Regions from separate parts of the Mus musculus genome. Here all the other regions are reported to be linked to region 7. Evidence: microRNA targets listed by miRTarBase, many of them from high-throughput screens and not tested one by one. Region 7 holds a microRNA gene; each other region holds the end of a gene's coding sequence.
Evidence for each region. Region 7 holds the annotated microRNA mmu-miR-129-1-3p (AAGCCCUUACCCCAAAAAGUAU, at 1,791-1,812, opposite strand). A microRNA usually pairs through its seed, bases 2 to 8, with sites in the 3' UTR of a target mRNA and lowers its output. Matches are read on the target gene's strand: a 7mer-m8 pairs with bases 2 to 8, a 7mer-A1 pairs with bases 2 to 7 and ends in A, and an 8mer does both.

Region 1 (4,076 bases), not on the chromosome of region 7:
GCCAGGTATGGTCCCTGTTTGCTTAGCAGGTTCTCAGTAAATTGCTGCTCATACAGATTGCATGCATGTGTGTGTGTATGTTTCTGAGACTGTGTGTGATTTGTGTATATGGTGATTGCATATGAGTATGTGTGTACTTACTTATGCCTGTGGAGGTTAAAGCAAACATCAGGTTTCTTCCTCTGTGGCTCTCTGCCTTTTTGACTCAAGACCGGGTGGGTCTTCGTTACTTCTCTATTGCTGTGAATGAATACCAAAACCAAGGCAGCTATAGAAGAAAGAGTTTATTGGAGGTTTACAGTTTCAGAGGATAAATATATTTCCATCATGGCAGAGAGCATGGCAGTAGGCAGGCATGGTCCTGGAGCTGTAGTTGAGAGCATGCATCATGAGGCATAACCATGTGGCAGAGGCAGGTGGTAGGGTGGCTAACTTGAAACGCTATGGGCTTTTGAACCCTCAAAGCCCACCCACCAGTGACACACCTTCTCCAACAAGACCACGCCTTCGGATCTTTCCCGAATAGTTCCACCAACTGGAGATCAAGTGGTCAAATAGGTAAGCCTATGGGGGCCCTTCTTGTCCAAACTACCATATGGAGTTTCTCACTTGGTCAGAAGTTCATGACTTCAGTTGGACTGATGGCCAAGGAGCTCTTGGGATGTACTTGCCTCCAACTCCCAGTGCAGGGAGAGTTACAGGCCCCCAAAGCCATGCTGCGATTTTCATGTATGTGTTGCTGATTTGACATCAGGGGCTGATGTGTGTAGGCAAGCTCTCTCATGATTGAAACATTTCTCCGGCCCCTGGATACAGAACTTGAAAATTATTCTCTATCACACTTAGCAAACTTGACCTTGTCTTTCCTTGTCTATATTTATTAAACTGTCTTCTTTCTTATGGTGACGTCACCTAAAAACAAAATAAGAAACCATTCATCTATTCTGCTCTTTCACCTTAACCCCACCTTTTAAAAAATTAAAATCCAGCAGTCGATTACTACAGCACATCGAAAGTTAACTTTTACTGCATTGTTCCAATGAAATTGTTCTTACTAGTGACATCAATTGCTTCCTAATTATGAAAGTCAAGTTCTATCTTCAGGACTTCAAATTGCTGACATCCTGAAAATCCTTCTTAATTTAGCTTTTGTAATATCATGTCTCCTGGGCTACATCATCTCTGAATACTGATCAGCTAATCTAACCTGCCTTTGTCTAAATATTGTTATCCCAAGGGGTCATTTTCAATTCTCCATTTCTTATGTAATTCAGCCAATTCCATTTCTTTCACAATTACCTACATATGCAGTGGACCCAAAATTTGACCTCTTGAACTCTATTTCCAGCGTGTAATAATTTCTGTGGCTCATAATATCCTCAAACTTTACATGTTAAAATTGAATTAAGTTTCTTTGCTCAAGTATGACCCCTTTTACATTTCCTATGCCAGTGAGTTAACTGTAGTGTCAGCGCGGTGACAACTTTTCTGGGCTTCTCTGCTAAAATACATAATAAATAAATTTTACAGAAAAAAGTTATCTTTGATATATTACCAGCGGGGTTTTATATGAATTAATCAGTGCATAACAAATCACCACATGGTTTGCATTTAAAGCAGGATACATTGTTACTGCATAGTTTCTGTGGGGGCAGGACTCCATCTTATCCCGGCCCTCTGAGCAGAGGACCTCATAGCTCCGAACAAGGTGATGGTGGGCTGGATCCCGAGAGGCTCACTGTTGTTCAGGGTCACGTGGATGTTGGCACAGGCTCACTCCTTGCCTTGCAGCGATAGTTCCGTGGCAGCTTATTCAAGTTCACTAGGAGAGGCTGACGTAAATAACTTAGCTGATAACCTGGCTATTCAGGATGTATCAGTTTACTTAAGACATCTGAGAGACCTTAATTCATCTGTTAATTTTAAAATTTCCGTTGTAATGTAACACAATTGTAGGAGAGACAATTCTGTCACCTTTGCCATATTATGTAAGTTAGAAGCACGCTTCAGGTCCCACCCTCCACCACTCAAGGGGCAGAACATTATTACGGGGCACAGGTCACTGGATGTCACCTAAACTGCCTATGGCAGCTTAATTCAAAATTATATAAGGGTAATAGGAAAAACCAATAAATGCTTATAATTTGGGCACTACAACGCTTAACACAGAGAAGAAAACCACAGAATTTTAATTAAAAAAATCTTCAATTTTAAGGGAGGTGATGCATATATTTACAAAGAAGAAAAGGTGTCTTTCTATTCTTATTCTTTTTTACTGCCTCAGACAGTAGATAGAACCACGTGTCTAAACATTAAAATCCAATTTACACTCTAATAAGAGCCTAAATTTAATTATGTAACTGGAATAAGAGTCATTGTAACATGTGCTGCCATCTTCTGTGTTGAGAAGATAAATGTTTAAGTGTGGTAATTTAAATAATTGAACAATTTTAATGCCTCCATATGCTCACATATTTGAATGCGTGGCCCCATTGTAGGACTGCTTCAGGAAGTTACGGAGCCCCTGGGGGGGCGGAGCCTTGGTAGAGGAAGTACATCGATGGAGGTGGGCCTTGTGGTTTATTACCACACCCTACTTCCCACCTTCACTGCTTCCTCGGTCTAAATAAGAATCAGCCAGCATCTTGTTCTTGCTGCTGTGCTTTTTCTGCCTGGTGCCATGTATTCCCTGACACAATGGACTCCATCCCTCTGGAACCATAAACAAAATAAATCCTTTCGCCTGTACGCTATTTTCATCAGGGTATTTTGCCACGGAACAGAAAGCTAACTAATATACTGAAGTTAATGGTTTTCTTGAATGTACCTTAGTTCAACTTTTCCTAATTTTTTTTTTTTTTGAAGGATGGGGGTTGAGACAGTGTTTCTCTGTATAGCCCTGGCTGTTCTGGAACTCACTCTGTAGACCAGGCTGGCCTCGAATTTAGAAATCTACCTGCCTCTGTCTCCCAAGTGCTGGGATTAAAGGCATGCGCCACCACTGCCTGGCTCCTAATGGTTTTTAAGCTCTTGTCTCTAGCTGCATATGTATCAAAAGATGGCCTAGTCGGCCATCACTGGAAAGAGAGGCCCATTGGTCATGCAAACTGTATATGCCCCAGTACAGGGGAATGCCAGGGCCAAAAAGTGGGAGTGGGTGGGTAGGGGAGTGGGGGGAGGGTATGGGGGACTTTTGGGATAGCATTGGAAATGTAAATGAGGAAAATACCTAATAAAAATATTAAAAAATGTCTTTAATGTGACAGTTTTCCTTCAAGATGGATCTTTCAGGCCTCTGTTGTTTTAAAATTTAATTAATTAATTAATTAATTTCTTTTTCTTTTTTAAACTGGGGAAATAGATGTGCCATGGCATGCAGAAAACAGAGGAAAACCGCCAAGAGTTAGTTCTCCTTCCACCAAGTCAGTTATGGGGCTAGAACTCAGGCAATCTGGCTTGGCAGCAAGTGCCCTTTACCTGCTGAGCCTTCCTGCTGGCCCCACTCACTGTTTTCTTACAGTCATAAATCACATAGCTACAGAAGTTCTTTTATTCGCAGCGTTCCCTTTCTGGCCCACACGATCCACTGTGAACTCCGTGGCCTCTCTTTCTCATGAACTTCAGGCAGAAAACTTGGAGTTAATACCAGAGTTGCGAGGGCGTGAGGTTTACTGAGAACCCTGCCATTTTAGGCTCTCCTTAGGGATAATGGTTTCCCTGGTATTTAGTGAAACCCAATAGCGCCATGGTGGGTTCCTCTTTGTTGACACTGGCAATGCTTATCTTGCATGGCCATAAGAGCGGGTGTGCGAATCGCTACAGATATGTGGTTACTTCTCGGCTTTCCCTCTCCTTTGCCTGGGCCAGCGCCACGTTGATGCACTGCAGCCATTCCTCTGCGTTCTTCTCATCCTTGGCTTTGAAAACATAGGTCTTACTATCTGTGAAGATTTCAAACGCCCGAGGCAGAGAGCGGTCCCGGCGTTTCTTAGCCACAGCTTTCACGCTCTGTACCTTGCTGAGTTCTATCGGGGAATCATCAGGGTCATCCTTCTGAAAGGAATGGAAAGGAAAGA
Region 2 (4,076 bases), not on the chromosome of region 7:
GTGTGCACCCAAGGAATCACGAGAGACTGTCTTGATGCAAACACATGAGGTAGTTTAATGACGGAGCTCCGGGCCGACATGTATCTCACACAGGAGATTGCGGTTGTCGACCACTAGGCTTGAAAGCTAGGGGTTTTTATAGAAAAGGGTCTGGGGCTGGGGGAGGAATTGGCGCGGTTTCACACGATTGGTTCATTTAAACATCAGCAGAGTGTATGTGCAGATGGAGGTAACAGCAGAGCATCTGGTTAACATTTAACCCATGTCAGAAGGGTGGGAGATAGGGAGGCGCCAGGCCAGTCTGGACATGTCTTTGCATTCTCTTTATCTTTATGGCCAAGCAGCCTCAGGAATGTCTTAATGATGGGCCTGCCCAGGCATGTCCTGGCCTGTTCTGCTATGTTCTCAGTCCCAGGCTTCAAAGCTCACAAACAACTCTTTGGGCTATTACATGAATCACAGGACTCAAGTTTTATTTTCTTTCAATAGCACCACATGGCAATCCACAACTCTCTGTGACTCCAGTTCCAGGATAGTCAATGTCCTCTTCTGACCTCCAAGGGCATCAGGAGTGCACACATAAATACACACAGGCAAGATACTCATACTTATAACATTTTATAATCATAACAAGGCCCAGGTACATGTGAGGTCCACATGCATGCACGTGGGCACTGCAGGCTGTGTAAGTATGGGTATTTACACACGCTGTTTACAAAGCACTGTTCACTCCGGGAGGGTTGGATGGTTGCTCTCTCTCCTCCATCTCCACCCCAGCCCATCAGGTAGAGAAGAATCCATAAAGACAGACCTGTCTTTCAGTGCGCCTTGGGGTGTGGTTCCAGAGAAACTTGGTTTTGTTAAAAGCACCAGTTAAAGAGCTCACATAATTTCCTTCCTAGATGATGTTTCTAACACGATTTTCCTCTCATATGATTATTGATCTGATAGAAGGAAGATATTTGGCAGATGTTTTGTCTCAGATGGCCTGGCAATGCTGGGCTAACAAGGAGGAAGTAGCCTGGGAGCATCCTGGCTCTGGGAGCACCATCAGCCTCTGGAAGCTATGGGAGTGTACATGGACCCACCCTCACACACAGTCTTCCCCGTCCCTTTCAAGCCTGCTGTCTGAGGACCACCTGTGGGAGACTAAAGAGTCTGAGCAGGCCCTGTAGTGGGCTTAGGGGGTCCCCAGTGACTCAGGGAAAAGCTTCTCCTGGCCATGCCCCTTAACAGTGGTGACAGGGACTGCACCACTGTGCACAACTTTACTCTGAGAAGATGCACAGTACGCCCCAGAGATTTTAAAGATGGCTCAAGTGTGTGAGCGGCCAATCCACAGAGTCCATGAAACTCTCATCAAGATCACAGGCCCCAGCTGGAGAGATGGCTCAGCGGTTAAGAGCACTGACTGCTCTTCTGAAGGTCGAGTTCAAATCCCAGAAACCACGCAGTGGCTCACAACCATCTGTAATGAGATCTGACGCCCTCTTCTGGTTTATCTGAAGACAGCTACAGTGTACTTACATATAATTAATAAATCTTTGGGCTGGAGCGAGCAGGGCCGGAACGAGCAGAAATCCTAAGTTCAATTCCCAGCAATCACACGATGGCTCACAACCATCTACAGTGTACTCATATACATAAAATAAGTAAATCTTTTTTTTATTAGGTATTTAGCTCATTTACATTTCCAATGCTATACCAAAAGTCCCCCATACCCAAGTAAATCTTTTTTAAAAATTAAAAAACATCACAGGCCCTTCAGGGAAGTGAGGGACGAAATGAAATCTGGAATAAACACAAAGTGAGGAAGCCCCAAGTGAGGATGCTGTGCCTCCTGGAACAGGGCAGATAGTGCCCCCTCAGGCTTGGAGTCATCATAACAATGTGGCTGGACTCAGAGACAGCTGCTGACCAACCCACAGATTTAGGGCAGCTGAGCAACAGGCTGGGAATGTGGCAGAGCCTTGCCAAGCCTGACAAGATCCTGGATTCCATGCCCAGAGCTGCAAGGTCAAACCAAACCAAAAACAAAAACAAAAAAAAAAAACAAAAAAACCCCCCAAAAAACCAAAAAAACCAAAAACCCCACCAAATTAAACCAGAAATACCAAGCAGAGAAAAAGGGAAATAGAAAAATGAAGGGCACAGAAGCAGTCATTCCTTAAGGATGCTCAAAGGCGAGGAACCAGTTAGATGGCCGAGAAGAAGGGAACAGGCTGGCATAGGTGTATATGCGGGTACACCCAGCAGAGGGGTCAGGAAACCCTATCTAGGTTCAAGGTCCCTGGCTACCTGCTGGGAAGACTCTCGTGATCCAGATTTGCACAGACATTTGCATGTTGCTTTGAACTAGACTTCAGGTCACCAGAATTCCATGTTCCAGGCCTTGAGCAGAACTACCATGCCTCTAACAGCCAATAGGGGAGCCCCAGTGGCAGGACTACGGTGGCCTGCAGGATGTCAGTGGGATGGCAAGGCTGACAACCAGAGTTCCATCTCTGGGGACAAAATAATAAACGAGAGAGACATCTCCCCCCAGCTGACCACCCCACCCCCCGCAGTGGGAAATGTGTACCCACACATGACACACACCAAATAAAATCCTTTTTTTTTTTGGTTTTTCGAGACAGGGTTTCTCTGTGTAGCCCTGGCTGTCCTGGAACTCACTTTGTAGACCAGGCTGGCCTCGAACTCAGAAATCCGCCTGCCTCTGCCTCCCAAGTGCTGGGACTAAAGGCGTGTGCCACCACTGCCCTGCTCCAAATAAAATAAAGGTCATCTAAAACAATTACAAACAGCAACACAGATGGGGGACACTCCTGACTCTCTGGCCCCAGGAGACAAGGTCTGTGGGCTGTCCCGTGGTGTCTGCAGCCAACAGCTTAAGAAAGGCGAGGGCACAAGGTGTCCTTTTGGGCTTGCTGGTCTGCAGGCGCCTCCTCCTAGGAGAACAGGCTTCAGTGTTCTGGCACGTTCCTCCCACTTCAGGGAGACAAGGCAATCTGCCCAGACTCTACAGCTAGAAACCCAAAGAAGCACAAGAGCGTCCATGTTTCTTCTCTTAGAACGCCTGATTCTGCTTACAACAGAGTCCGCATAGATTTCTAATCAGAGTAAGGGCTGACAGGCACTTCCTTGGTACTTGGTCCACTCACAGAGTGAAGCTGTAGTGTGGGCTGAGGCCCTCCAGGGCAACAGGACCAGCAGAGATCCACTGTGGAGGTAAAAAGGCCAGCTTAGGAAGTTTGGGAAGGTCATGAAACACTTGCCCCTCCAGAAGGAAGAGGCTAATTAACATTTCTCAGACCTTAGGGCAGAACTGCCCTGTGGGTGGGGACACATCCTGCAGGACACCTTCAGACAAGGGACGTCCTTGTCACTTCATTCCCTAAAGACCAATCAGTTTAAAGGGTGCACTGCTCCGCCAATCACGTTGTGCCTAGTTGCTGATGCTCTCTTCTGCCCCTGGAAACCATATAAAAACTCCCTGAATGGGTGCTGGGGGTCGCCGCCTCTCCTTCGGGTCTGGGAAGACCCCAGTGCACTGGAACAAAAATTCCTCTTGCTTTTTGCATCTATTCCGGCTCCACGTGGTCCACTCAGGGGCTCCCTGGTAAGCAGAGGCTCCCTGGAGTCTTGCAGAGGGACGGGACTCTGTCCAACAAGTTCTCTGTCTCAAAGCTCTGTGGCATCAGTAGAGGCCCCTGCTCAGGGGTTGGAGCCTAGCTCCCGTGTAGCGGCTCAGCTCCTCCAGCACCAGCTTCTCCTGGTTGTACATCTGGAACACAGCAGAGCACAAGCTCTGGAGGGACTCTGGGGACCCTTGTCCCGAGTCCGAGTCCTCCCAGGGTTCACCTCCTTCTGAAGCCCCCCTAGCCGCTCCCCCAGGCTCTGCACAAGTCTATCAGCAGCACCTGAACAGAGACTCAGAGAGCTGTAGGTAGATGCAAGATCAAAGGACAGGACAGCAGGGAGTGGGCTCCCAAAGGAAGGGGGAGAAGCTGGGGTACACATGGGGCCCAGGGAAGTGTGGGGCAGGGAGGGAGTGGGCATAGACAGGGCTGGGTGGT
Region 3 (4,076 bases), not on the chromosome of region 7:
GCCATGTTCAGGAAAAAGGCCCACATCTACAGACACTGGTTTCTGCATCTCATGTCCCACCCCACCAGAACAACCTAGACTGGGTGTGGTAGAGGATGGTCCTTACTCGGGGCAGGAAAGGCATTCTGTGGGTGGAGCGATGCTGCCACCTTCTGGGGTGCTGGAAGCAGAGCCAGGCAGAGCCCAGCACCCTCTGCCCTGAGGCTAGAACTGTGGTCTGCAGAGAGCTCTTCAGATGTGTCCCATCCCACCTCTACTCAGCCCAAAGCCGGCTGCCAGTTCTCCTCTTAGTCCAGTGCACAGCTAGAGGTGGTGGCCAGGACATCAGTTTAGCCTTTGCAAGGTAGAACCTGTACCCAATGGAGCAGCTGAATTCAGGAGCAGTGTGAGCCCGAGGAGGCCCAGCTGTCCTGAAGGATGAGCACGGTAGAGCCTCACACATACCGTACTGTACTCACAGAGGAGTGGTTGAGCAAGTCAGGCCTGCCCTTATGTCTAAGTCTAACTTAGGATTATGAGGGTCTGGGCAGATGAAAGACAGGGCCGGGTTTTGGGATGCGACAGTGCCTGGAAGGAGACGCCTCTTTTCATCAGAATGTCCATTCTGAGAAGCAGAAGCAGCTAGGTGAGCCCCAGTGTTCTGTTTCGTTTCCATCTTTTTCCTCCCAGAGAAAGAGCTAAAGCTGCTTCGACATGAGAACCGGAAGAACACGCTCCTCTCGGTGGCCATCTTCACTGTCTTCGCCCTGCTCTATGCTTACTGGACTATGTGAGTCAGCCATCTCCAGCCACTAGAAGGACGTGGTAGTGCTTCCTTCTGCTTAGTAGAGGGGCAATAAAGAGCCCCAGGCTCTGCTGTCTGGCAACTATTTCCTGCTGACAAGGTGAGGGTGAGCAAGGGAGGCACTCTTATTTCAAAGATGAAGGGATGTTCCAAAATTCTTATGTACAATTCAGGAGGAAGGGAGATGTGCAGCTGGGAGGGCAAGCTCTGTGCCTGCCACCCGCAGCTCCAGCCTGCCCTGGCCTGTGATTATTACCACTGAAGAAAATGCAGCATGCACGGGAAAAGGTGGCCTGGGCTTGAAGTGGAGGTTCCAGGGGTATGCGGAATCATCTCCTCTTCCAGAGACAGGCAGGGCCAGGGAGGCCTGCAGGTGCCCATGGCCAGCAAGTCTGGCAATGACCAGACTGACATGGTGACAAGAGCCAGTGAGTAGGGTGGGGGTGAGAAGGAGGAGGTGGTCAGTCAGGAGCAGCCCCTAGGATTCTCCCCTAGCTCCACTCACAGTAGAGGGCCCTAAGGGAGAAAGAATGCTCACTGCTCCATTCAGGAGCCTGCCAAGTAAAGCCAGGCTGTGAAACATGAAGAATCGGCTGGAGGCAGCTCACCAACATGTGCGATGTTCAGGTGAAGGAATTCTCACCTGGGGCTCATGCAGAATGTGGCCTCTTGTGGAGGCGGCTAGCCAGAGTCAGCAGAAGATCCTTTCTCCTGTCTCGTCTAGTGACAGTAATTGGTCTGAAGCCTCTGCTATGTTAGTCACACAGACTGATCCTGGACTGCCACAGTGCTGCCATGCCATGCAGTGAGTTGTGTGGTGAGCTCATTCACCCCCAAGTTCTGCTTTATACCGGAACTGTACTTTGATAAGCCTTTGGGCTCCCTGTCTAGCAGATGGCAGTCTCAGGAGCTGGAGAAGCTTGGCTTCCACAAACACTCCCCTTCCTCAGTTACACAGCACTGTGGACAACAGCAGCCCAGCACAGAGCCACATGAGCAGTAAAAATATGTTTAATGATCCAAGATTCTGTAAGACACACTGATAGACCCAGAATTAGGTGCAAATATGGCATCCCAGCACTTGCTGCTAGGATTGGGGTTGGGGGCTGGTGGAAGGGACCTCCCATGGTGGAATCAATTCCAACCTCACAGGTGCCTCAGTGCCCTATCTCCATGGAAACCAGTCTGGCACTGGCATGGGGCCCTAGGGAGCCTGCATGAACATCTCTTGAAAGAGATTTCCCATTAGAAACAACCACAGATGCCCTCCCCAACCCAAAGCTGTTGCCATTCCTCCCTCTTACAGAGACAGGAAATGGAGTGACTGACTATAGACAAATCAAAGCAGATCGCTATGTACCTCCTAGTGGAGAGGAAGGAGCAGCTAGAGCCACTGCTAGCTCAGAACTCTGCCAAGAGCTTCAGGTGGCCTGGACTGCTAGAGTAACTTTCTGTTACTGCTGAGACAGGAAGTCAAAGGGCAGGTTTTTAGGCTGCTCTTCCCCTGGAGCTGCCCAGTGCTTACCAGAGGTGGAAACTCAAGGAGCAATTATACCCAGTACCCAAAGCGCTGATGTTTGAAAGGTACTGGGTCCACACTCCTTCCCGACCTGCCAGGACAAACTCCAGGATTGGGGTGAAGAAAAGACCACAAGAAACAACTTTGATTGGTATGACAGCTGCTCCTGGCCAGCATGTGATGGAGGGCCTTCATATTTGGGTGGCCTAGTAGAAATGGGGCAAAACAATGGCCTGATTGCTCTCGAGGGCAGTAAATGGAACTCAGAACACTGAGTCGACAAATTCCAGAGGGAATGACTCTGACAAGTCCTAAGCGCTGACCTGCCCTTGAGCAGCTGCTTTTCAGGTTGACTCCAGTTCTCAGACAGCAGAGTTTCACAGCTGTGTCCTAAGGCCCCGAAAGAGCTCCTTGGGAATGGGGAGGAGCCCATCTCCCTTACGACCAGGGAGAACAGTCCCAGTTCCTTTCCAAGAGGCAGAAGAAACCAGACACTGGGCCCTGCCTTAAGAATGACAGGACATTCATCAGGTGGAAACCCTAAGGGCCTAGAGGATTGTGACTCTGGATGAAGGAAAGGACGTCCTCCTTGGACAGCTTGTCTGGATCCTGGGGCTTCTGGGAGTCACGCATGTGGAAGCCATCTCCCCACTCCCAGAAGAGCCGGCTGTAGTAGCAGGTACTATAAAGGGGTGGAGGAAGGACCCATCAGAGTGCTGTATCTAGGTGGTGCAGGACCAAGAAACCACTAGCAGGTCCCCAGATAGGTGCTTTTATACTGGGTTCTGTCAATGACTCAAGTTGAGAGATGCCCCTCTGGCATCTAAAGGTTCCACCCAGTAGGCCCCAGATCCTCCCATGCCTCTAAGAACTAACTTTTGCTGCCACAACCTGCATCCAGCTAGACTATTGGTGTTCCTAGCTCACCTGTTCCACTAAGGTCAGTATTAGCCAGCTACAGAAACAAGTGCTCATGGCTAATTTGAGGCCCTATTGGGGCTGCGATAGAAGCTCATGTCCAGCAGCAATCTGACCAACACGTCTTAAGGAGGAATACCTGAGACCCTGAGTCATAAGGGGCAAGCTTCTTACAACATGTTCCTCCAAACTCTCTGGCAGGTTCCCCTCCACCACCTAGCCAGTCAGCTCTCTACCCAGGATCTGGATGAATCAGGTCCACACTTGGGGCAGCTTCTTTCTGCATGGCAATGATGGGTTCCAAGCCAACGGAGGGCTACTTACTGAAAGGGGGCAATGGATTCTGTAGGGAGAGCATAGACGGACTTCTGGGTTTTCTTATTGTAGAAGAACTTCCTGTTATTGCTCTTGCTAAATCCCATGGTCCATGGCTCTGAGGGAGACAAGGGCAGGCACTCAGGACAGTCCCCATGGGCGTGCCCATCCTTCCTTCCCCTGCCTAGTCCCTCCAGCTTCCAATAGCCACACCCAAATGGCAGATTATAACCTCCCCAAGGCCTAGCCTGGTCCTCAGCATTACAAGGGTGACGTCTCCAGCCTATAGGGAGGGGTACACAGTGGAGAGGCCATGCTTACCCGCTGAGAATACCTTATAGGCATCTACAATTTCATCTCTCCCTGCTCCCAGCCAAAGGCCAGAACAGGCCCAAATTGGGGGTGTTTCCAGCAGGTACCTCAGAAATTGCCAGCTGACTGCTGTCCACCTCAACAAGGAAGCCTTGAGTCAAGTCCCCCTTGCTGGCTAGGGGGCAGGGACAGTCCCTCAGTACCTACCATTTACGGTCCTGACAATGT
Region 4 (4,076 bases), not on the chromosome of region 7:
TCCCTGACCTTGTGTTCTCTTGCAGTGAATATAGCCTACTTCTTAGTCTTCATCAGACAATACAAGGCTCCCTCTCATTGTACCAAAGGGGTCATCCTAGCCATTCACTAAGCTTTCATCTCCTGTCTGCAATCTCCTGGCTCTGGCTCATATTTCCCTGTCTACAGGCTTCACTGTCATATGTACAGCATCTGAGCATGAATTGTCTTGCTCCTGAGAAAATGTCACTGTTAAAATATGAGGGGGCATGACAAGTGCAGGCAATTTTCAGTTATTAACATAAGCAGGAGGCAGGCCAGGCATTCCCAGAAGGAGCAAGGGGAAACATTTTTAGCTGGCGAAGACTCCAGTCTTAAGACTAGCTAAAGTTAACTTTGCTCGGATCCAGTCTTCAATTGTGGAGCTCCTGTAGGAACTGGCAAAGGCGAATGGGGGAGAGGGACTGTGTGGTCAGACATTTAGAAGAGATGTGAGGAGACTATGTACACCTTACCACAGACTCATTAGTAACCAAGGACAAACCATACAGCCTTCTTATAACTGTCTTTGAAAAGCAGACTCTGACCTTGTGAAGCCAGTGTCATTTGTGACTGACAAGGGACAGCTGGATCACATCTCTTTCTCATTTCTTTGTAGTGAGGAAGAGGAGGCTCGCAGACCTGACGGGGCCTATTATCCCCAAGTGCCGCAGCGGTGTCTAGCATGCGAAGGGAAGCCCACGCCTAGGAACTGGACGTGTTCTACCGATGATGCGTGTGCCCCAGTGGAGCCCAGGACGAATGCTGGCGTGGAGCTCTTGTGGCTCAGTTCTTTGTGCACTGAGGTTTAGGTTAACTAGACTGTAGTCGGACCTTTTATAAAACATGGCTAATGTGAAGTTTTTCTTTAGGCACAGAAGTTCAGTCTGGTAATTATTTAAACATGCAGAAGCCCTCAAGCTAGCGGGCCTTGCTGCAGACAGTGTGACACTGGCAGAGACGGCCCAGGAGCCCCCTGGCGGCCCTGCTTTGGGGCCTAGGTGCACTTACAACATGGGACGCACCAGCACAGAGCACTCTTCCCACCTAGTTTGGAAGCGTGGTGAAACAATCTTTTATTTCCAATTTGATCGTAGCAACTCAGTAAAAAGAACACATAATCATGATCTGTCAACCCCCACTTGAAACTTTGACATCAAGATTAAAGCTGCCAAATTGATTCCAGGATCAAACCCCCACCCCTAAGAATGAAAGACAAGCCACAGAATTTTCTAAGAGTCAGAAAGACACAGGATTCCTTTTGCCAGGTAAGATAAAGAGGGAGAAAAAGGCAATGGTGAATTTTCAAGTTTCAAAACCCACCACACCAGGCAACAGACATCCTTCTGAGTGCTGTGGGAACACCTGCGGGGTACTCATCTGCAGTCAGAAATCATTTCTTCTTTATTGAATTCCAACTTCATGATGGATGAAAACTTACAGCCGCTGGGCAGTGGTGGCACACGCCTTTAATCCCAGCACTTGGGAGGCAGAGGCAGGCGGATTTCTGAGTTCGAGGCCAGCCTGGTCTACAGAGTGAGTTCCAGGACAGCCAGGGCTATACAGAGAAACCCTGTCTCGAAAAACCAAAAAAAAAAAAAAAAGGAAAAAAAAAGAAAACTTACAGCCACATAAAAACATCTTCCTATACCACAGTGGGCAATGGCTTATGTGAGATCAACACCATTGGGTGAATTTCCAGTCCACCATGCCTGTGGTATTTAGCATGGCCCTGCTTACAGACACCAAGTGCCTGCCTGGTCATTTATGAGACAAATCAAATCACACAGAGCTCTTGCCTACAAACAAAGCCTCTAGAGGACAGCAGAGTACAGCATCTTAATGGTAAGGAATTAGGAGATCCTGGCCAAACAACACACGGGATTACTCTGAAACCTAATCTTGGTGTTCCTACTGGATTTCCTTTTTTAACACCATGGGAGCCAGTAAAAATGTTCAAATACACTGTTCTTGTGCCTTTTAATAGACCACAGTGCCAGTTAAACTAGTATTTTTGTTGTTTTGGGGAGTTATTTTCCTTAGGGATTCAGCCAATATTATAGTAATGATAAGGCTCAAAAGCTGTTGAGCATAGCCAGGGGGCTTCTGACTTAAGAGAAAGCCTGCACACCGAACTGTAACAGTATGGACAGTACAGGGTAACTAGAGGTGGCATCGGGGCCTCAGCACTGAGTGTCCACTGAGGCTGCACACGGGCCCAGGAGTGGCACCAAGCTGCAGGGACAGCCAGCCCCACTCAGCTTCTCCTTGAAACACAACTGCAGCTGCATTCTGCATCACTGGAAACTGCAAAATAATATTAAAGCCATTTGGTCTATGTGTGGCTCTGTGTGCTTCTTAAGAATCGTGGGATAAGAATATGTGCCCAAAGGCCAGGAGGCTAGGCAGCTACCATGCTGAGTGAGCTCACCGACCAAGTGTCTGTGTGGCAGATGCTGACCTAAGCCTGCTGCTCGTCTAGATCCCTGAGAACACTTGCAAGCTGAGAGAGGGATGCTGGGTAATGCAAAGCTGCTAGAGGAACATCTTTAAAGAAACCACATCAACAAAAGCATGGGCCACCTCTTTCAGAGGACCTCTGTGAAGGGACAGAATATACTTTAGATTCTGAAGCCGCATGGTCTCTGGCCAACTACTCAGTAGTGCCATGATCACATATAGAAAAATGGGTTTGCAAATTTAGTAAATGCTTCAAGGCACAAGGTGATCAGAGCCACAGAGCCTCAGGCAGTTAGGGAAGAGCTGGCCTGGTTTAAGAGTCTACACCCAGGGCCCAACTTTTATAATTTTGCTGTCAGGGTAAAAAGGTTTGCTGAAGAGCAATGCCTACCACCCTGCAGCATGGCAGAGAAGCCGCCAAGCTCAAGATAATCCCTCAACATCGTTGGGATTCCTCAGGGTTTGCCTTTGTTCCAGGCTGTAGCATCCTCTGGATCAAATGGCAAATCAGGCAGCTGACACTGACTCCCTGTCCCTTGTCCCTGTGGCCATCTGCTGTGCTGGCAGTGACCAACATGGATGCTCTCCATTTGTCTCTATACCGTCTCAAGCTGCACATGGCAACTTAAGTCTGCATGTGTCAGTGAATGCGGAACACCAGGCCCAGGTCCAGGCTCACAGGGACTGAACTCATGACTGTGCCTGCTGTTCCTGTGGGATTCGTGGCCTCCGGGCAGTACACTCACATTCTTCTTTAAAACTGTCCTGGGAGGGGCCTGAAGCCTGCTTGCCCCCTTTGTCTTGACACGTGACACAACAGGCTGTGAATCCTTGTCCTTGACAGGCAGAACAGGTCAACACAAGCTGGCGGCATTGGGGAGTAGAGCAGAGTTTGTATTGGTCCCATGGGGCTCCGCAGTATGAACATTCTAGAGAAGAAAGGATTTTATTATTCTCTCTCTCCCTTGCCTGTACACACACACACACACACCACGAAGACAGAGACAGAGAGAGGGGGGGCAGGCGGGGGGTTATAGGGGGAAGGCATAGATAAATTCCAATTCCTAAAATAACTCTTAGTTCACTAGAATCTAATATATTCTTTTGGTCCAAGGGAATGTTTCCAAGTCAGGAAGAGTAGTATTCACTATGACCTAAACACTTGCTAGGCTGAGACAGGAAGATTGTAAATTCAAGGATAGCCTGGGCTATGTGTACAGTGAGACCCTGTCTCAAACAGATAGATTAAAAGAAAAACACTATTCCTGTCGTCTAAGAATGAAGAAGGCCTTTGCGGGGCGAGGGGTGTGGTGTGGAGAGGCTGCTTCTGGGAACTGTGTTCTGATTCCTCTTCCTCCACCCATGGCTCTTCTTCCATTGAGAAAGGGCTTCTGAAACCAGCGTATCACCCCCTAGTCTCTCCCCAGATAACCTCCCTTCCCAGGGAAGAGAACATACCAAAAGACAGTTGACCCCACATTACAACCAACTTGTAGAATGCACAATGCCCCACCCCAGGCCACCATCGAAGGCCATTGCCAGGACACCTGACCACCCAACTCCTCCTGGCCAATGCTGGTCACCTTTGAGAACAGCAGT
Region 5 (4,076 bases), not on the chromosome of region 7:
TGATGGGACTAAAGGTGTGCTTCTTTAAACACAGCAGATCACAAACACGTGGCCCTCTGGGAACTCAGCCCTATCCTCTCTCTCTTTCTCTGGCCCCAGGTGATCGGAACACAGAGAAGGAAGAAGGCAACGAGATGGTGCACGAGGTGGACGTGGTCATTAAGCACAACAAGTTTCAGAGGGACACCTACGACTATGATATCGCCGTGCTGAGGCTGAAGACTCCCATCACGTTCCGGATGAACGTGGCCCCTGCCTGCCTGCCTCAGAAAGACTGGGCCGAGTCCACACTGATGACACAGAAGACGGGCATCGTGAGCGGGTTTGGACGCACGCATGAGAAGGGCCGCCAGTCGAACATCCTGAAGATGCTGGAGGTACCCTACGTGGATCGCAACACCTGCAAGCTCTCCACCAGCTTCAGCATCACACAGAATATGTTCTGTGCGGGCTATGAGGCCAAGTTAGAGGATGCCTGCCAGGGGGACAGTGGTGGCCCCCATGTCACACGGTTCAAAAATACCTACTATGTGACCGGCATTGTCAGCTGGGGAGAGGGGTGTGCAAGGAAAGGGAAATATGGCATCTACACAAAGGTCACGACCTTCCTCAAGTGGATTGACAGGTCCATGAAAGCCAGGGTGGGACCCACAGCCGAGACCCCAAGGACAGCAGGTCCGCCCAATTAAAGCAGTCCTTCTCCAGTCCTGCTGGGTCACATCTGGTGTTGTTTAATGTTGCCACCTTAAACAGGAATGTTCTTGGGGCAGCTGCCCCACCTGTGGTGGGGTCTTTTCCCTCAGTCTTATTTCCCTTGACTTCATGGTATACGAAACGGGCTGCAGCCGGGCAGTGGTGGCACACACCTTTAATCTCAGCACTCAGGAGGCAGAGACAGGCAGATTTCTGAATTTGAGGCCAGACTGGTCTACAGAGTGAGTTCCAGGACAGCCAGGGCTACACAGAGAAACCCTGTCTCAAAAAATGAATGAACGAACAAACGAACGAACAAACAAATGAACGAAAGAAAGAAAGAAAGAAAGAAAGAAAGAAAGAAAGAAAGGAAGGAAGGAAGGAAGGAAGGAAGGAAGAAAGAAAGAAAGAAAGAAGCTGCAAGTGAGCAAAGGTCTCTCTTCCTGAACCAGACTAGAAGACACTCAGGGAGTCGCTGGCTCTAGGGGGTTCGGTGTCTGCTCACACTTGGATGGAGCCCATAGACATAGCATATGGTTCTGATTTTCAGTATGTGTGTGTGCGCGCGTGCACACACACACACACATACACACAGACACAGGGACTTCAGCCCCTGTTTTAGGTTGAGAGGCCTAGACTCTGCTACTCCTTAGCCTGGCCAGAGAACCCTCACTGTCCTCTGGGAACTAGGCAACATGGAATTACTGGTTCCGTGACATCCACTGAAAGTAAAGACTCCTGGGAAGAGAGGCTAAGGTCTTTGTCTAAATAAAGGAACCTTTTACCCGGATCCAAGCCACGCACAATCCTGTGCTGGGCTGCCTGTAAGTGTGTAGCAGTCTTCCCACACCATGCTGTCTGCTGAGTGTGCATAGACGTTGTGCTGAGCTGACTGTTGGAGTGAATGCTGAGTGTGCATGCTATCTCCCTGGACTGGGCTGTGTGGTAAGAGCACACAAGAATCTTCCGAGATGGGCTGCCTGGTGTATGCATGGAATTCCCCTGAGCTAACCAGGGTGTTGAATGTACACAGGCCCTTCTTCCTGAACACAATATCAAATCACAATATCAACTCACCAGTTGCTAATAGAGATCCTACCCCCACCAGTATGTGGGTCTTAGCCCCAGCTTTGATTAGGAGCTCAGCAGTCTTTGCAAAACCTAAGTCCTGGCCTTATCCCAGACATCCAATCCTAAGTCCCGAGAGTGAGCCTAACCCTATATAACACTATCATGCCATCCCAGCAGGTGTTCGTTGAGTGGCATGATGTGGCCGGACAGGGTTCAGGGCATGTCTCTCCCCTCTAGTCTTCTATTGCTTCCAAGCCCCAAATTAAATGTGGAAACCAAGCCTACATTCAGTAAATAGAGTAACTTTTTCCCAAAAGTACCTATAGCTTGAACTTTACATAACTTTCCTAAGCAAAGTGTAAAGGTTCCAGTACAAAACTTCCCCCAAATCAAGAGCTGGACAGAGTCCTTTGTAAACAGATTTTGCAACATTTGGAAAAGTCAAACAAAAACAACACTTGATTTCCTAGAACCATAATGGCTGAGAGTGAGGCCAGGGTCTGAGAGCAGAGCTGACCTCAGCAGCTGCAGCGGGGACAGTGATGTGGACCCTGGAGAACACCTGCTCTGTAGCGTGGTCCCCTGGCCCTGCCTGCAGGTCAGCAGTGGGAGGATCACAGTTTCACCTGCCTCTGGGGATGGACTTTGTCCTTAAGAACAAGAACTCCCTGGGCTCCAACAACCCCAGGACAAGGTCAGCATCCACACAGGTCCCTGAATCAATAGAAAGACAAGCCCGATACTCTGTGTGGGTGTGGGGTCAGCCCACGGGGGAAACTGAGGAGACACTAAAATGTGAGTTTTCAGGCTACAGGGATGGCTCAGCGGTGAAGAGCACTGACTGTTCTGCCGGAGGCCCTGGGTTCCCAGCACCCACATGGCAGCGCACAGCTGTCTTTAACACCAGCTCCAGGGAACCCAACTACTCAGACGCACATGCAGGACAATCACTAATTCACATATAATTAAAAAAAAATAAATACATTATTTTTGAAGACGTAATTTTCAAAGTCAATTTACTCAAGAACACTTTCATGTTATACATATTTTACCACAATAAACATTAAGATAAAAAATATCACCAATAATTTCAAAACAAGCAGAAAATCCATCACCCAGATACTGAGTGTCAGGGCTGGGAAAGTTAATCCTGGATTTAGTGAGGTATCTCCCCTTGTGGCTCTGGCAGTCGGGACCCAGGAGCTCTGTGGTGCTGGCAATGTGGGCACAGGCTCTGGTGACCAGGCTCCTCAGTGTGCTGCTGATGGGGACCCAGGCTCCCCGGGTGTGTTAGCAATGAAGAGTGCAGATTGCCAGGGCAGATGGTGATGGCTTCTAAACTGAAACAGAAAAGAGCAGTCCTCACTTGGCTCTGCTCCTAAGAATACTTTGGATTCCAGAAATAAGACCTAGTGTAGTGGCAGGGAGGGGTTGAACCCCCCCCCAAATAAAACCAGACAGGAGCCCATCTGATACAACTCACAGCAGGGTCTTTATTCTATTCAAGCTAGCTTGGACTGCCCCAGTGCACTGTCGTAATGCAGGATGGTTTGGGTGGTGGGGGAACCCTGAATATCTATCGGGGCAAGGCTTTATGGTAAGGAGCAAGCAGGGATGGGGTGAGTGTGCAAGCATCTAACTGGGAAGTTACTATGGACTTTAACATAATTGGCTGCTGCTGGGAGTCCTATCATAAACTTAACTTCTGCTTCCCTCTGCATTGGTGGTTGTTAGGCAGGGGGTGGGCTTGTAACCTGGGGGTGCAGGGTTGTTGGGGGAATAACCTGGAGACACTGATCTTGTTGAGGGTGTGACCTGGAAATGCTGGTCTTGTTGGGGATTAGCCTAGAGACTGGAGCTAGGCTCCGGTTTTGTGGAGGGGCAACTTGGGAACTAATGCTAGGTACCTGACTGTTAGTTTACCTGAGTTCAGCTTAGGTCAGGCTCTCTAAAATCGAGTCTGAACTTAAAAGATTTGGCCTCTTACTAGCAAATGGCAGACGGAGAAAAGACTGCTCCTAGAGGGTAGCTTCCACAGAGGCCACACCCCTCTCGGGGCTGAGGAACAAGAGCCTCAGATGTCTTCAGGGGTTTTATATCCTGGATGGTTTGGGGAAGCTGATTCTAGAGTGGACATGCTGCCTATCAGTCCTCGGATCAGCCCATGCCCAGAGAGTGGGCGAGCAGGAGGTCAGAGGAAGAGCAGGCCCAGCACTCCTCCTCAGCTCTGGGGATTTGCTCCCCTTGCCTGGGCCTTAATTTCATCCAAAGAATTTACTTAAAGTGGTCCTAGGTAGCAGGGGAAAACAAAG
Region 6 (4,076 bases), not on the chromosome of region 7:
AGATGTATACATTTGGATCACAGCATCCTACAGTTAGAGGACACTGTGATCCCATCTGGGGAATTGCTGTACTGCATCATTTACATCATTAGTCCTGTGCTGGGGAATGCTTTTCTTCTGGTGATGTTCCTTAAAGGCCTTTCTTTCCGCTCAGGTTCTCTTGGATAAAGCAGGTGAGCCATCTGCGAAGCAGCAGCTACTTGGAGGGTATGATATGTTAATGAATCCTCAGAAGATGGGAGAAAGATTTCACTTCTTTGCCTTGCTACCTCATCAGAGACTTCATGGGGGGAGTCAAGAAAGGAATGCCTGCCAGTCAAAAACCCCCTCCTCCTCTGTAGCTGGGTTTGATGAACTTGTTTGGCAGTGATACTTCAGCTTGAACTTTTATTCCTCAGTGGGCCTTAAAAATCAAAATAAACAAAATTCACTTTGCATATTGAAGTAACATAAGTTTTCAAACTAGTATCTCTTTTCAGTCAATAAAAATAGCCTGTTTATGCTGGGCAGTGGTGGCGCATGCCTTTAATCCTAGCACTCGGGAGGCAGAGGCAGGCGGATTTCTGAGTTCGAGGCCAGCCTGGTCTACAGAGTGAGTTCCAGGACAGCCAGGGCTATACAGAGAAACCCTGTCTCGAAAAAACAAACAAAAAAACCAAAAAAACCAAAAACAAACAAAAAATAGCCTGTTTATATAAATACAATCAAAATGGTAGAATGTCAAAGGTTATAACTAACTCTTGGTATAATTGTTTTCAACCCAGTAAAGTGATTTATTGTGAAATTGTCTCCTTATCAACTTACTGTATTTCTATTTGATTTTTAAAAACACATATGAGCACTGATTGGTTTGTTAGAAACTGGAGATAAGGTAAATGGCTATTTCAAGTCAACAGATCTGGGTATTTTTAAAGGGCAAAAGCAGTCAGTGTATTCTGGTAGAAGGCTCTCTTAGGGTTAGTAAATGGAAGAAGTCAGATGTGCGTTTCTAGAGTTAAGATCCTGTTTTTGCTAAAGGAAAGAATTAACTGAGTACGTCAGTATAGACTTAGTTTCCTGTTCTGTGCACAAGTGAAGGAGGAGTAACTGGGAAGGAGTCGGCAGCTCTCCACTCTGGAAGCAGGATTCGGAAGGATTCCAATGCCTCTATGGATGAACGTAAAGAGTGGTAACACAAATATTAAAGACGTAAGAAATAAAAGTCATAGTTAGAAAAACCTGTACCAAATCTGACTTTTACTGAAATAAAAATTAAGAGTAATGTTAACTCTCCAGGAGGAGCAACTTCCTAAGCTGAGCTCATTCTCAGATAAATACACAATTTTAGCTGTGAATTAAGTTGTCTGTAGAACTTTCCTATTAATGCGGTGAATGGGCATCTGGGGACGTGGTTAGCAGCAGCAAGTCCTATGAGGGGCTTAGGTGGACATGGGATTAGCCATGGGATTTGAACTCAGGACCTCTGGAAGAGCAGTCGGTGCTGTTAACCACTGAGCCATCTCTCCAGCCCCCATCACTTATTTCTCTGTTGCTGCTTCTGCTTAGCTGAGAATGGCATTAACATTCTGTGTCTTGGTCTGTAAGAAAAGAAGGAATGACGCCATATTTAATTGGTGTGCTATGCTGTATGCACACTTCAGCCACAGCACCTACAGTTTTTATACGTACCCTGTGACTAAATTTAGGGCATTGCATTTACACGTGAAGGTTTATAGCGGGTATTTTTTTTTTCTCCATTGCTGTCCAACTTTGTTTTTGAGACAGCATCTCTGAACTCAAAGTTCCTTAATTTGACCAAAGATTGCATCCCTGCCCCTTCTGTAGCAATGTCACACTGGGTTACAGGCATGTAACCCCATGGGCGCTGGGGAGCCAATCTGAAGCTCTTCTGGTTTGTTTTTTGTTTCTGTCTTTGTTTTTAAGATTTATTTATTATATGTAAGTACACTGTAGCTGTCTTCAGACACTCCGGAAGAGGGCACCAGATCTCGTTATGGATGGTTGTGAGCCACCATGTGGTTGCTGGGAATTGAACCTTCGGAAGAGCAGTCAGTGCTCTTAACCGCTGAGCCATCTCTCCAGCCGGAGCTCTTCTGTTTATGCAGCAGGGACTTTATCTTCTGAGCCCATTCCCCAGGCTTATGCTCCCAGCCTTAGACCATTCCTCATCGCTCTGTTCTTCTTTTCTATCTCTAAAGCCACCGTTTCATGTCCCTCTCCCCCCCACAAGGACCAGGCTAGAACATTTGAAAGAAGTAAATACTGACAGTTGGCTCCTCCCACATACAGAATTGGTTTCACTTTTTATAATTAAGAGGGAAGAGTCTAGTAGTGCTTTCTAGTCTCAAATTCTAGAAATTTGATTTTTCATGAGACCTTTGATTTTTCTAAGTCTTTTAGTAATACCTAGGATAGTCGCTCAAATATTTAATTATCATTATTCTTTGTATTGTATTCCAATAAATGAACCCTCTAGATAATTATCTCAAATGCAGTATACACCTGAAATGACTTTAAAGGGTTGTCTTTCACAGAGGATATATAAATATATATGTGCTCATGTAGCATTGGCTATATTTACAAAAAAACTCCTGTTACTCAGGCCCGGGGAAAATATTATAACCAAATACAACTCTCTTGAGATCCTTATACTAGAGATGGTCTAAGGTTTTCACATAGGAAAGTATGGTGATAGAGAAATACATTTTATTATCAAGTTTTGAGAATATTTACAAAAAGTGGGATGTAACAAAAAATATAAAATGTACTAAACAGTGTCATTATACACTACTTTGAAAATTGTCACATGTTTCTAAGAAACAATTACTTTCATATATGCAAACACAGCTTGGCTTTAAGACAATGACAAAAAGTTATGCAGGTTAAACAGTGGAGTGGTTACTCAACTCCGCACCGTGACAGCGCCTTTACAGTCTCTCTTTAAACAGCACAGGGCTTTGACAAAAACAGAGTGCAATTAATGTCATGGCTTGTAAAGTCTGATTACAGAAGTACAGCAAACCAGCAGTCATTTCAGTTAGTTCTCACCTCCCATGGTAAAACCACCGTGGGCTGCCTAGTGACACACACGAGTTCCACCTTGTACATACTGGTCAAGCAGACTTAGCAGAAATGGAAAAATCCATTCTTAGAAGTTTCTTAAAATTACTCTTCACAACTACTGTATGAAAACAATTACAGAGACAGTTTGGAAAGTCTTCTGGAAATTCTTACAGATGTACAGTACATTGTCAATGGCTGGGACGGGTAAAGGGATTGGGGATATAGGCCTGGGTTTAAATCCATATTTAAACTCAATGCACTTTGACAACTAACCCTGTGCCTCAACTTTAAGTGTGCTTAGTCATGTGACTATTGTGAGGACAGTTCAAAGCATAAACATTTACAACCGGGCACCCCTGCTGTTTCTGTCACCTCAAGAACATTTTTAATTTTAGACAGATCACTGCAGCTGCATTCTCATCTGGGATGGCACTTAGTTTTGGTCTGCTCACACACACAGTTTTTCCTTTGCTATCTCAGAGCCCGTGGTAAGCGACAACCCTGGCATTCCAGATTGTCACAAGTGGTCACATAGCCCAATCTTCACAGCCACATGGAGGAAGGCAGAAGGAAGAATTTATGGTGTCTACTCTACAGACTGAGAAACTAAGTCAAACAAATGCTCAGACAATGTTATCTGCTCAGCCCCACAGATCCACAGAGTAAAGACACTTAGGCTTAAACCCAGGCTTTCTCATTCCAAATTCTTGCTCTCAGCACAGAAAAGGAAAAACAACAAGAAAAACCTGTTTTGTTTTTGTTTTGTTTTTTTTTTTTTGTGACTAGTGAGGAATGAAGAAACAAACAGCTACTATATTTCTTGTGAGAGGATGGTCCTGGATCTTTTTCTCTTTGGGTAAAGCACAGGTGGGAATATCACTAATGTGGAAATCTGAAGGACTCCAAAGTTTCTTGAATTTGGAGGATTTCGGATTTGTAGGTCAGGGATGCTCAACTAGTAGAGTGTGCAAACATTTCAGTATCTGGCAGTGAAACCTTCCTGGTGTAGAGCA
Region 7 (4,000 bases):
GGGAGGGACTGCTTGGCACAGAAATCCCTAACCGGCAAGGAAAGACTGCTGTCCTCCAGAGTCAGACAGCAATACCCTCACTCAATAGAGGATGTAGGGTGAAGTTCCCCAAGATGACCGCACGATGCCGCCCTTGAGCTACGCATCCCGTTCCAACCCGCATGCTGGGGACCGTGGCCTAGCAAACCTGCTTTGTTGGGGCCAGAATTGAGAAGTCAGAGAGCATCGGGACCCTGAGCTCCTGTGGTCATGAGTCAGCCTTGTAATGTGGCCTGTCCATGTCGTGCCTTCTCCGCCGATGTCTTCCTGTCTCCAGGTGGTGGCGTTCACCCCCCACACCTGCAGTTCTCCCTTCTGACCTGTGAACTCAGCTCTCCTTCCTGAACTGCCACAGCACACTCCAGCAGCCCCACGTAGGCTCCCTTGCCACCCTTGAACTCGGCGAGACTCACACACCAGCGTACATATCCCCTTAGAATTGCCTCCTGTGGTTCTGCACAGGGAGGTAACCTTCTGGGGGCTTTTGTTTCTCAAGATCTGTGACTTTGTTAGCAATGAGATTGACACCCCATTCTTTGTCCAGGGTTGCCCACCCATCCCGCACCTGGGCGTAAAAAGAGCAGAGAGATCCAGATAAGGAACGGCATAGAACCAGGAAGCACAGAAGTAGGGTGGGGGCACAGGTGAATGAGATGGATGCCCATGTGGCCATACCTGACGTGCCTCACCACAGCTGCAGAGTTGTACCCAACTCCCTTACACTGGCAGGAGCCACCACCGGCAATTGTCATCACCTGTCCTTACCACCTTTGGAAACTGAGGACGCGGGGTCTTTAAATGTTCCTATGTCAGTCCTCTGCTCTTTATTGCAACACGGAGCTTCAGAAAGTTCCCCTGGATTTTACCTCACGCCTTGTGTATGGACTCTCCTCAACGCCTCCTCTAAGGATGACTGACCGCAGATTTCCCCCAAGTCGGCCCCCTTTCTCTAGCGTGTGCAATCCCCCCTCCTCCCTCTAGATGGCGGTGAATCAGAGGTTAGTAATGATATCCGTTCAGTTAACTTGAGCAGTCAAGGATTTTATTTGAAGGACTAGTAGTGACTCACAGGAGAAAGGGGGTCATGGTGACTGACTCAGGCTAAGGGACGGCAGGCAGACACCTCATCCTGCCGCAGAGGCTTACCATCTTCACTCGGCTGCTGGGATCAACTGTGGTGTTCCCAGTCACAGGTCCCTCTGCCCAGGATTCCAATAGCCAGGCCTGTCTTGGATCTCATGTCTACCCAATGCCAGGAAGGAGGGCTAGGCATATTGAGTGACAGCCCTGAGAGGTGTGCCCATGATAGCCAGCAACATCTACCCAAGTGGCCTTCGCTGGCTTTGACTAAAGCCACTCCTACTAAACATTGTCTATCAGGAAAGGTATGAGGTCACTGGGGCACAGAATGTCTTAGGACAGTGGTTCTCAATCTGTGGGCCACGACTCACTTGGGGGTCATATATATCCTGATATCAGATATTTACATTATAATTCATATTGGTAGAAAATTACAATTACAAAGTAGCATCAAAACAATATTATGGCTGGGATCACCACAAGATCAGGAACTGTATTAAAGGGTCACAGCATTAGGAAGATTGCCAACTTAAGGCTTAGGGCTTGATCCATGGTCACCCAGCAATACTAAGGTATGGCAAAGACGCCCTGGATCCACATGGTAGTCTTGAGTTTGGTGTGACTCACCTGGAGCCCTTGGGGGTCTCCCCTGTAGACCAAGCCTCCCGTAGATACTTTTTGGGGTAAGGGCTTCCTGACTACTGTCGAGAGAACAGCAAGCCCAGACCGCAAAAAGATCCAAAGGAGACAGCTGTGGGAAGGTTGCAGGGTGCAGCCCCTCCAGGGCTGGGGCTTGCTTGCGACTGCAGATGGGGTCAGGGAAGCAGAGCTGGGACCTGGAGAGCAGGAGGGTGGGAGAGGGAAGGGGAGAGAGGGGGAGCCTTAGGATAAATTCAGGCAGCCAGGTGACAGGAGCCCCAGTTGCACCCGCTTCTACCCACCCCGTGTCAATCGCATTCTCACCTGGCAGGCTTGTAAGGAACAGAGCGGTTGGTGCTCTGGCATGCGGGGGCAGCTGGAATCTGTCTCCTCCCCTGTCCTGTGAGGAGGATTTTACAGTTTCCTGCTATGACTGGGAGTCAGTCAACCCAGGCATCTCCTATGTCCTGGATTCCACTGCATTAACAACCCCAACTCCTCCTGGGGACTCACCAAGAGCCCCACCCCACCCCCCAAGAGGCTGTCACTGGACAGCTCTGGGCTGAAGGCATGGATTCTGTTCAGCATCAGCAGATACTATGGTATGATGAAGAAAGGTAGAGGCTCCAGGCCAGCCCCATTTGGCCTGCCCCCAACCTCTATGGTCTTAAACAACTACAGTGACCCTTCTTCCTAAGTTCTTCCAGAATACAGGTAGAAGGCTTCCTAGCAGCCCTGCTCCCCAAACCTGGGTCTGTCCCACTCTTCCAGGAGGTCCTGAGGCCCCGGCCACAGAGAGCAGAGAGGTCCCAGCTGGGAGAACATTAAGAGGCTGTAGACTGGATGATTTCTGCTTCTCAGCCACGTGCCAGCTCAGGTCGGTCCTGTCTCTTGCATATCCTGAAGGGGGTCAAGGAAGAGCTGTTTACCTGCTAAGAGCTCATTAGCAGAGGCTGCCTGGAGATACCCGCTGGCCCAGCTCAGCACCTGCACAGGGAAGAGAACAGAACGGTCATAGGATGAGAGAACTTGGCTCCAGGGCAAACTGCAGAGAAGGACCTGAGGACACACAGGCTGTGAGACTTGGAGAGCATCTTTGTAAGAGAGATGTCTACGCTGCCTCCCTGTTGGGGGCCTGCATTCACTCTCAGGAGGAAAAGGCGGGGAATCTTCTCCCACCCTGCCCAGCAGGTGGGCTTCCCCTTCTGGACATTCACTTTGGGAGAGTGCTCCAAAGTGGAGGGGGTTCCAGAGCCACAGGCATCTCACTGTGGGCTTGCTAGCTTGCACAGGCTGGAGCACAGCTGCAGAAGACCCCTGGCTCCCGTTGCTTCCAGCTTTGTATGGTCCATCAGAGCACAGTACCTGGGGAAATCTCTGGATCCTGACTCCCTTACCTGGCTGCAGCTTGTGCCAAAAGAAACAAGATGGAGGAGACAGGGATCGAGAAGGGATGCACATTCTCCCGATGGCTTTGCTCTGAGTCATACGGGCTTGGAATTAAGGCCACCAGGCAGGCTGGGAAGGTCTCCCATGGGAAGCTGAGTGTGGCAGCCCCTACCTCTCTCACATGAACCTTGCCCCTGAGGACACTCTCTCTTTGGCACTGACCACACCCTTTCCCACACCCGTCCAAGGCTTCTGCAGATTCTTTATTTCACATGGTCATCTGCCCAGTGTTTGCTACAAGCCTGCATAGCACTGCAGGCTTCCCCTGTGGAGTTGTCCTTGCTCCTACGCAAGGAAATGAAAAACCCAGCTCAAGGGAAAAATCTCTCAGGGTCCTGCCAGAGCTCCTGCCTCATTCACTAGCACATTGCTGGCTCTTCAGAACCTCCATCAGTGGGTCTCAGCCTGTAGGTCACTACTCCACTTTCTTTTTTTGGGGGGGGGGGGAATCACATACCAGATAATTCTGAGTACCAGATATTGATTTACATTACAATTCATAACAGTAGCAAGATTACAGTTATGAAGTAGCAATGAGATAATTGTGGCTGGGAGTCACCACAACATGAGGAGCTGACTATATTAAAGGGTCTCAGCTTCAGGAAGGTTGGGAACCTCTGTTCTAGCCGTTTCTCACCACTTCTTCAAAGCATAACCTCTAACCTCCTCACAAGGTCTGTTTCCACAAGGTAGCCAGTGCAACCCTTTAACGACGAAGGTCAAAGCGAGGAAGGCAGCTGGAAGGAGGGCTTTTTTAATATGCATGAGGTGCTGGGATTTGACCCTCTGCACC

Region 1: miRTarBase lists Veph1 as a target of mmu-miR-129-1-3p. Seed matches in the 3' UTR shown: 7mer-A1 at 2,895-2,901.
Region 2: the mRNA of Ybey is a reported target of mmu-miR-129-1-3p. Seed matches in the 3' UTR shown: 7mer-A1 at 2,649-2,655.
Region 3: the mRNA of Ccdc167 is a reported target of mmu-miR-129-1-3p. The part of its 3' UTR that is shown has no 7-base or 8-base seed match.
Region 4: miRTarBase lists Tmod1 as a target of mmu-miR-129-1-3p. Seed matches in the 3' UTR shown: 7mer-A1 at 1,572-1,578.
Region 5: the mRNA of F10 is a reported target of mmu-miR-129-1-3p. Seed matches in the 3' UTR shown: 7mer-A1 at 954-960.
Region 6: the mRNA of Ndufaf7 is a reported target of mmu-miR-129-1-3p. Seed matches in the 3' UTR shown: 7mer-A1 at 611-617.

Annotation. Positions count from the first base shown.
Region 1 is chr3:66,053,289-66,057,364 of GRCm38, forward strand. Veph1 (ventricular zone expressed PH domain-containing 1) reads right to left here. Exons shown (of 14, transcript NM_145820.3): 14 at 270-4,053. The coding sequence ends at 3,817. Among named protein-coding and RNA genes, the nearest start is that of Ccnl1, 97 kb to the left of the region's middle.
Region 2 is chr10:76,459,536-76,463,611 of GRCm38, forward strand. Ybey (ybeY metallopeptidase) reads right to left here. Exons shown (of 5, transcript NM_172550.4): 5 at 32-3,784. The coding sequence ends at 3,698. It overlaps 2610028H24Rik (RIKEN cDNA 2610028H24 gene), which reads left to right. Exons shown (of 8, transcript NM_029816.2): 8 at 952-1,683. Among named protein-coding and RNA genes, the nearest start is that of Mcm3ap, 7.3 kb to the right of the region's middle.
Region 3 is chr17:29,701,063-29,705,138 of GRCm38, reverse strand. Ccdc167 (coiled-coil domain containing 167) reads left to right here. Exons shown (of 4, transcript NM_026782.2): 4 at 670-1,807. The coding sequence ends at 773. It overlaps Cmtr1 (cap methyltransferase 1), which reads right to left. Exons shown (of 24, transcript NM_028791.6): 22 at 4,056-4,076; 23 at 3,546-3,654; 24 at 1-2,985. The coding sequence ends at 2,844. Gm28043 (predicted gene, 28043) reads right to left here. Exons shown (of 28, transcript NR_132314.1): 26 at 4,056-4,076; 27 at 3,546-3,654; 28 at 1-2,985. Among named protein-coding and RNA genes, the nearest start is that of Ccdc167, 14 kb to the left of the region's middle.
Region 4 is chr4:46,113,678-46,117,753 of GRCm38, forward strand. It overlaps Tmod1 (tropomodulin 1), which reads left to right. Exons shown (of 10, transcript NM_021883.2): 10 at 637-2,355. The coding sequence ends at 701. It overlaps Tstd2 (thiosulfate sulfurtransferase (rhodanese)-like domain containing 2), which reads right to left. Exons shown (of 10, transcript NM_173033.3): 10 at 1,069-3,406. The coding sequence ends at 3,168. Among named protein-coding and RNA genes, the nearest start is that of Tstd2, 23 kb to the right of the region's middle.
Region 5 is chr8:13,055,194-13,059,269 of GRCm38, forward strand. It overlaps F10 (coagulation factor X), which reads left to right. Exons shown (of 9, transcript NM_007972.4): 9 at 100-1,483. The coding sequence ends at 689. Among named protein-coding and RNA genes, the nearest start is that of Proz, 3.7 kb to the right of the region's middle.
Region 6 is chr17:78,946,721-78,950,796 of GRCm38, forward strand. Ndufaf7 (NADH:ubiquinone oxidoreductase complex assembly factor 7) reads left to right here. Exons shown (of 10, transcript NM_028611.3): 10 at 155-1,332. The coding sequence ends at 370. It overlaps Prkd3 (protein kinase D3), which reads right to left. Exons shown (of 19, transcript NM_001171004.1): 19 at 2,685-4,076. Among named protein-coding and RNA genes, the nearest start is that of Ndufaf7, 12 kb to the left of the region's middle.
Region 7 is chr6:29,020,479-29,024,478 of GRCm38, reverse strand. Mir129-1 (microRNA 129-1) reads right to left here and starts at 1,860; the gene lies at 1,788-1,860.